2 linked regions of the Cricetulus griseus genome follow. The protein of the gene in region 1 interacts with the protein of each later gene in a biochemical or structural test. Links are inferred from orthologs where the notes say so. Each region holds a gene or a part of one and is shown on either strand. Other genes may lie near its edges.

Region 1 (3,549 bases):
AAAATGAAACACGTCATCAGTTCAGAAGCTAGGAAGGAACCATGTTAATGAATATAAACTGAATATGGGATTTAAAAGCATATTTTTCAATGTACTTTCAGTAAGTAAATCTACAACTATGGCCATTTTTCTTCCTCTAAGCAGAAAAGGGCTCATGCTTTCTCTTTTGTGGGACAGGTCAACAAAACCCTGACCTGAGGAGCTGATGCCAAGCTCAAGTACATACCTATGCTGGGTAGAAGCTCTGGATGAGGTCCCACCTTCTCTTCCACTAGGCCACCTGCAAGTGGCTCAGATGCTACGCCACCATGATTGCCTTTTGTGGTTGGCGCTGTGGAGATGAGCTCAGAGGGTACCAGTGTGGTTACTATTGAGCGTACACTGGTTGGGAGAGCACCGCCAGGTAAGATGGGTCCTGTTGAGGTGGAGCTTGGGCCCATGGGGCTAGAGGTCATTTTTAGTAGCGTGGGTGCTGAGGGTGTTGGGGTTTTACTGTCCAGCTCTGTGGAGCACTGCTCTGTTCCCATTAGCCCAGGAGTTGTGGTCTCTAGCCCTGGGCCTTCAGTCTCTCCATCTGCACCATACTGTTCTTCCCCTTTTTCCAGAGAGCCTGTAACTTTCTTACAAGCCTTGGTCAGCAAAATCTGGCCAATTTTGTCCACTTTTCCTTTGCCCTTAGTGGATGAGACCGGGCTTCGCCGATTGGCAGAGGAGCCTGGACTATTGGTCAAAAGGGGAGAAACTACTGTGGTGGACTGTGAAGAGAGCAGAGTGCTCTGATCTGCTGAGGTGTTCATCTGAGGACTAGCCTCATCTGGATTTAATTCTTTTACTTGCTGGATAGAAGAATTAGGAGCGACGACTGGAGAGGATGTACAAGGAGGGGAAGGCAGCTGAACAGGAGTGGCACGTGAGCTAAGGACCAACGGCCGGCCTGTCTGTATGTTTGGAGCAGGACTGCTGGAGGGAACATTAGGTGCTACAGGAGCTGAAGAAAATTTTATGTTTTGAGGTATGTGTAAAGGTCCAACAACTGCGACGGAGGGAGGCATCAGGCCACTGTTGGTTGTCAATGGGGTTGCAGGAATTGTGCTTGGCTGTGATCCTTTCATAACCTGAATAATTGAAGATGAATTGATAAAGACAGGTGTAATGAACTGAGGCCGGGCATTAGATTGAGCAGCGGACTGTCCCTCAGAAACCATAACTTTGTTACCCACGTTGGGCATTGTGACAACTGTTGACATCAAGGCAGAATGCAAGTTTGTTGGCAGGGCTGCTGATGTGTTAGATGAAGTGGTTATGGGATTGGAAGTAACAAATACAGTTATTTGGTTTGGGGGCAAAGGAGTAGAAATGGAGGAAGAGCTGACAGGCCTTGACATTACTGGAGGGATGCTTGGTGCAACATTAGAGCTGACCTCACTCAATTCTGGATGCGCAAGGGTTGAACACGGCTCATTACTGTGAGGTAAGTTTAAGGAATTAGAGGGCTCTTTAGAAGGCGGATCCTGCAGTGTGGGAATGACAGATGCTTTTTTGAGGTCTTCCCCTGAAACTACTGGAGGTGCTACTTCCAGATCTGTAAGCCCAGGGGGTTTAATGGTCACATTAGGAGCTCCAGAGTTGTCAAGAAGTTGGCTTAATGATGTTGGTGCTTCTCTCATGGCAGGAGACATCAAATTTTTGTTCTCTTCAACACTGGGGAGTTTGTTAGCATCCAAAGGTTGCCCATCTTTTTTGGACTGATCTTCAGGGACAACCATTTTAGCTTCTTGGATAGGGACTACTTTCAGCTCAACATTTACCTGCTCCTTCCTACCCTGGGAATTCTGGCAATCATTGTCCTGAGGAACGTTCAAACTCTCTTTGTTATCCTCAAGAACAGCCCCCACTGCAGGCACAGGCACAGGCACGCTGGGATTCTGAGGATTAAGCCCACTATTGTTAGGAAAGCTTCCAGATAAAGTGGGATTAGCAATTGGAGTGGGGGAGACCAATACATTTCTAGGCAGTTCCATGTTCTGCAACAGGGTTGTGCTTGGTTGAGAAGCCAGAGTAAGTTTTGGGGCTTTTGAATTTTGCCTTCCAGGACTTGGGGTAGTTTTCCTACTGGACCCTGGACTAGACCTGCGACTGTTACTTGGACTTGCCCGTTTTGTTGTTCCAGGATTAGACTGTTTTCCAGAATTCACCACCACAGAATCTAATTTATGAGCTTGTGGGGCAGCAAAGTTAGGAGGATTATTTATGGTAAGATTTGAAGGTGCTTGCCCGATGGCTTTCAGAGTTGTTGGATTTAAACCCTGTTGATCAAAGCCCCTATTTAAATTTGGCCTGGGAGGTAAAGGAATATTAATCTGTGGAGGGAAGAGTCCTGCTATGGAGGCATTGAGTCTTTCTGGTGACAGACTTATTTCTGAAGGTTCTGTACTGGGAGGGCGGTTGTTGGGTGTCTGAGGATAATAGGGTCTGGGGCTGGCTCTGTTTGGAGTTTTAGGCCTAGATGTCTGGGTTGGTGCAGCAACATTTGGAAAGTGGTGGCCATGGGAGCTAGGCAAAGAATTTACAGGAGGTTGCTGGGGAGTTGCACCTTGAGTTGCTGAAAGGGGAGATGGTCCAGGTTTGGGCCCTGTCATCATTAACTGATTCTGAGAAACTACTAAATGTGACGGCATGTTATTTGGGCCTCCTGAAACAGATGGTACTTCATTGCCACTAGCTTCAGGAAGTGAGGACAACTCTGCTAGTGGAGAGCTAGAAGAATTCTGTGGGTTCTCCTGGTATACCATTTTCCTCGAATTACTTCCCAATGGAGTATTCACAGACATTGGGATTCTTTGTTTATCAGGTGATGGTGGCACAGAGGCAGGTCCTTGCAAGCTAACCATAACAGGTACATTGCCACTCTGCTGCACGGGCATTCTCTGGGAGTCTGGGTTCAGAGGACCCCGTGGAGGGTGGACATTTTGGGAGACTGGAAGCCTAATGGATTTAGGGTCTTGCTGCATCATGAGCATCATCATCATTTGTTGCTGCTGCTGCTGATGTTGCTGAGACTGTGGCTGACTAGGTGGTGGTGGTGGCTGTTGCTGCTGCTGCTGAGGCAGTTGTGGTTGTGGCTGCTGCTGTGGTGGCTGTGGTGGGGGTGCCACATGCTGCATGAGTTGAGGAGGCATCTGTTGCAGTGGCCTCTGTTCAACTGGTTGAGTAGGATAACCTAAAACAAGCCCCCCAAAATCAGGGAAGTTAGATTTTTCAGCAAGAAAACTTTGCTACCTTTAGAGTGTAGCTAAGCAGTACTCATAGGTAGCAGACTGCGCACAAACAGCTCAGGCATGCTGTTCCCATTGTCTGACACAAGCAAGGGTTCACACTGCTTAAGGAGGCAAAAAGCAAAGCATTAAGAACACGAAGCCCCTTGGTGTTTACGTTGTGAATGAAGCATTACTGCATTAAGACTGTATTATGCACTATAAATGAGAAAAACCCTATCAACAGCAAAGGGCTGGTTGCCCAGTATTTAGGTCTCAGGTAGAAATAATCAGT
Region 2 (4,234 bases), about 120 Mb from region 1:
GACAAATGCTTGTGCCCAGCACAACACAGTACCAGCCCAAAAGAGAATACAGGCAGACAAGGCCACTACCACAGTCAGACCACCAACAGGGGGTCACTTTTTCTCACCCTAACACTTCCTCAGTCAACAACAGAGTCCCCTCCAGAGTTTCCCAAAACAAATGCCCAAATCAGTAGGCAGCTGGGGGCCTAACCGTGAACTGCCTCGTCAGGCCCAAGCTGGACTCCAAGCCCAGCCTCCTGAGAGTCATGTGACCCTGTTATTTCGGGACGACCGGAATGTGCTCTATTTTGGGTCACAAGGGCTCCAATGTTACTAAAAGCCCCCTCACACAGGCCCCAAGTTCACTAGATCCCCAAGAACCACACAAGAGGGTGGTTGGAGGCCTAGAGCCCCACTTCTGGAAACCTGTTACCCTCACATACAAATGAGCCACACAGCTGAGAGGGTCAGTGCAGGCTTGGGACCTTTGGACTCTGCAGGCTCAGCCTTACAGTCCCACCATCCAAGCTGAGGCCAGGCTGAGCCCTTACCCCACTCCCCAACTCCAGCCCTGGGCAGCAAAGCCAGGAAACAGGGACTGCCTGGGGCAAATTCCCCATCCTCCCTTTCTTCTCAGATCTGTCCCATACAGATCAACTCAGTGGAGAGAGGCTCAGAGGCTATCTGAACCACCAAACCCCACACAGTGCACACTGGGAAGAGCCCTCAGTCTCAGACCCCAAAAGTGGCAGGGTAGTGAAAAAAGGACGGCCAAATCTTCCCAGCCACTTCAAGTCAAACCTAAGTTGTCAGTGGGGACCCTGGATGAGCCAGATCCTCTGACACTCAGCCCCCAGGAGGGATTAGGCTGTGTTGACAAAAGGGCTTAGGCAAGTAGCTGCTTAAATGGACCTTCAACTGCACTGGACTTCAGAGCTGGTCACAAGCTTAGTAAAAAATAAAATGTATTCAGAGCCCAGGACTCACCACTCAGCCCTGGGGCACAAGCTGCCTGGGAGGCCACAAGCTGGTCCTGAGAGCCACCACTCTGTGAACCCAAGACTCTGGGTCTCCTTGTGGGGGGACAACAGCTCCAAGACACAACTCCTCTTGTTGAAGACTCTAGCCCAGTCACCCTGCAACTGTATGTGTCAACTTCTAGAATGGGCTCTGTCCCTCCTGGCATGTTGTTTCCCATCCCTGGATCTAGGCAAAGTATTGCCAGGCCCTAGCCATGATCCAGGCCAGAGACTAAGCAAAGCATTCCTGTCCTAAGGACCCAGCTCTGAACACATAAAGGCTTGGGTGGAGGAGAAAGAGGTGTCTCAGGGGTCCCACCAACCCCACATCAGGCCCCACAGCAACATGCCACAGTAATACAGCTTTCTTGTCAGTGGACTTTGGCAGGGGGCTCCAACGCCAAATCCACCATTTACAGTCTCTAAGTGCGGCCTCTCCAAGCCAGTTTCTCAACTACAACATGGACAGAGTTTACACCCTGGGAGCCAGACCCTCAAGCTCAGCTGAGCCCCCATGGTCTTCAGCACCGCTCATAAGGACGAAGTGTCTGAAGCTTTGACAAACTTGGAACACTCTATCAAAGTCACTCTGCAGCAGACCTGTCTGGGAGCTGTAAGAAGGCTGGGGCCAAGGGGGTGCCACCTCCCCAAATCACCAAAAATCCTGGAAGCCATGCTGGGTTCTGATCACCCCTAGGGGTAGCAAAACTGCACCCCAAGCTTCATAGGGGATGGCCAAGCAAAGAGGCACTGATCATCATGGAGCTTCGTCCATAATCAGCTGTCCTGATTTCCATTCAGCACAAATTCTTCATCAGCCTGACAGCCTGGCTGCTGTCCTCACCACCAAATTAATATCCTTCCCAGAGCTCATTTATAAAGTCTCTCTACACTGTTTCCCTCTGGCTCCCAAAATCCCTGCGAGAGCAATGGATTGGGGGGCTCCGACCCTGCTGGGTTCCACTCCCGGAGTTGGCAGGCTGACGGTCACTGAGAGCTGCTGGCGGGAGGGCAGCAAGACAAGAAAACGGACTCTTCTGCCTATGGGCTGTTCTCCCCCCCTAAATACCAGGGAGAACAACTAGGGGTGCCAGAGCGTGGGGCCCCAGTTCTGGGTTTGATGCTCCTCATCAGAGGCCCCTGGGTGACCATGCCCACCTAGGTTTGGGCTGCTGTCGGGGAACGGCAAGATCGCAGACTCCGTCTGGGCCAACAGACACCCAGGGGCCAGCGGCCTGCTCCAAACAGCAGCCCGACGAGCCCGGAGGAGCAGTGGCCTCCCGGAGCCCAGCGCGTCGCCCCCATCCCAGTGCCAAGGAGGCCCGGAGCCCTCCAGCAAGCGCAGAAGTTGCTCCTCCGGCGTGGCCGGATTCTGGGCGGCTGAGGCTGGGCGCCCCGGGGTTCTGCGGACGCGCTACGCGCACCGTGAGGGACCCCTCTCCACGTCTTGAGCGAACCTGCCGCTCGCCCCAGCCCCGCCGCCCACTCCCGCTCCCCGACAAGTCAGAGGCCCGGTGCCCTCGCCCTCTCCCGCCGCGAGCCCGGGCCCGGGAAAAGTTGCCCTGTGCCCACTCGCCTCCCCGGGCCCGGCGCGCCAACTCTCGGTACCGCCACAGCGCGGGGCCCAGCGGGCCTGGCCGGACCCCCCACGCGCGCTGCGCACGCGCCCCCGCCCCGCCAGCCCCGGCCCCCTCCCTCGCCCGCGCCGCCGCGGCCGGCACTCACCGAGCGGCAGGAAATGTTTGGTGTCCATGTCTGCGACTAACTTCCCGGCTGGCGGCGGAGCAGCAGGGCGACAGCGCAGCGGCCCCCGGCCGGCCGGCCCGGCCCGGCGGCGGGGCGGCGGGCAGCGGCGGCGGCGGCGGCGCGCGGAGGCCGCGGCGCGGCGAGTTGTTGCAAAAGTCGCCCAACAATGTAAACTACTTGTGCCTGCGCGCGCCCGGCGCGCGTGTCCGCCGCCCGCGCCTCCGCCGCGCGCCGCGACCCGCTCCGGCCCGGCCTGCAGCGGGGGGGAGCGGCGGGGGGCCCGCGACGGGCGCGGACTCGGCGCAGCGCCGCCGCCGCCACTCGCCCCGCCCGCAGCCGGTGCGCGCCCCGCCCGCCGCTGTCGCCGCCGCCCCGCGCTCGCCGCCCGGCCCCGAGTTGTGAGCGTCCTGCAAACTTGCAAGTTTGCGTCTGCCAGGGGTTCCCGGGAGCCGTGGGGCGGCGGCGTGGGAGGAGGGCGGGGCGGCCGGCTGAAGCAGCCTTCCCTCCCCGGCTGCCCAAAATCCCCGCGGCCCGTGGTGGAGGAGGAGGAGAGCGGGGCCAAGAGGAGAGCTCAGCGGCCGGGCCATTGTCTGCGCGGACACACAAAGAGGCCAGCCGTGGTCGCTCGGGGACCATGGTCTGGCAGGGCTCCCTAAAGGAGAGCTGAGGCCCCGTGCACCCCAAGGGACACATGGGGAAACTGAGGCCGGGGAGGGGTGATGAGCCAGAGGCAAGCAGCTGGGCAGGGGGATGCCCCAGTGCCCTCCCACTTACACGCGGGAGGCCCAGAGAGAACCATGGTATCTGACCGACCGAAGGCCAGACCCGGGGCGGGGGGGGGGGGCGTCCGCGTACCGGTGTTACCCCGACGGCCCCAGCCCTCTTCTGAGGTGCGGGGTTCGAGAGGCGCTGCGGCCCGCTTCGGACATCGCCCAGTGGCCCCAGGCTATTTATATACCTTGGGCAGCTCTCTGCCCTGACTTTTAAATTCATGATTTGTTTGTTTTAAAACGAAAGGAAGCACTCCTACCCAGAGAGAGCCTGGGCCTCCTCCGCAACCCGCCCGCCGTCTTGGGCGGCTGGAATTCGGATTTGGGTGTGAGCTACCTGAGCAGAGCCAAGCCAGCCTCCCTAAGCGCACTGTGTCCCTGAGCCAAGCCAGGCAACCGGCAGTCCCGCCTCCCTCCACTCCCAGCTGGTGCCTGCCAGACCAACATCCAGCGTGGAGGCCCTGGCAGAGGGGCTTACCAAAGTCCACAGGCACATCGTGGGTGCTGCCCAAAGAAAGCACCTCCTCTCCAGACAAAAAAGGAAAGCCCTGCCTGGGTGCGCTACTGCCGCCCTCCAGAACTGCACTTTTTCTTCGAAGCATCCCAGAAGGTCTATAGAACTGTCCCAGAGGAAGGCCAGCCCTGTGGGGTCTGGGGAACCTGTCCTTCCAGGGCAAGAGAGAAGAAAAAGCAAAATAGGGGCACTAAATGTCCTGG

What was found.
Region 2: the proteins of Ncoa6 (region 1) and Rxra form a complex in vitro, tested with the Homo sapiens proteins (5 studies listed by BioGRID). The link is inferred for Cricetulus griseus from reciprocal best matches to the Homo sapiens genes NCOA6 and RXRA.

What each region holds. Positions count from the first base shown.
Region 1 is NC_048599.1:24,227,978-24,231,526, reverse strand, and holds part of Ncoa6 (nuclear receptor coactivator 6), read right to left. Parts: intron 3,221-3,549; coding exon 227-3,220; intron 1-226. UniProt on the Homo sapiens protein: Nuclear receptor coactivator that directly binds nuclear receptors and stimulates the transcriptional activities in a hormone-dependent fashion. Coactivates expression in an agonist- and AF2-dependent manner.
Region 2 is NC_048599.1:139,356,333-139,360,566, reverse strand, and holds the start of Rxra (retinoic acid receptor RXR-alpha), read right to left. Parts: upstream 2,836-4,234; 5' UTR 2,755-2,835; coding exon 2,727-2,754; intron 1-2,726. UniProt on the Homo sapiens protein: Receptor for retinoic acid that acts as a transcription factor.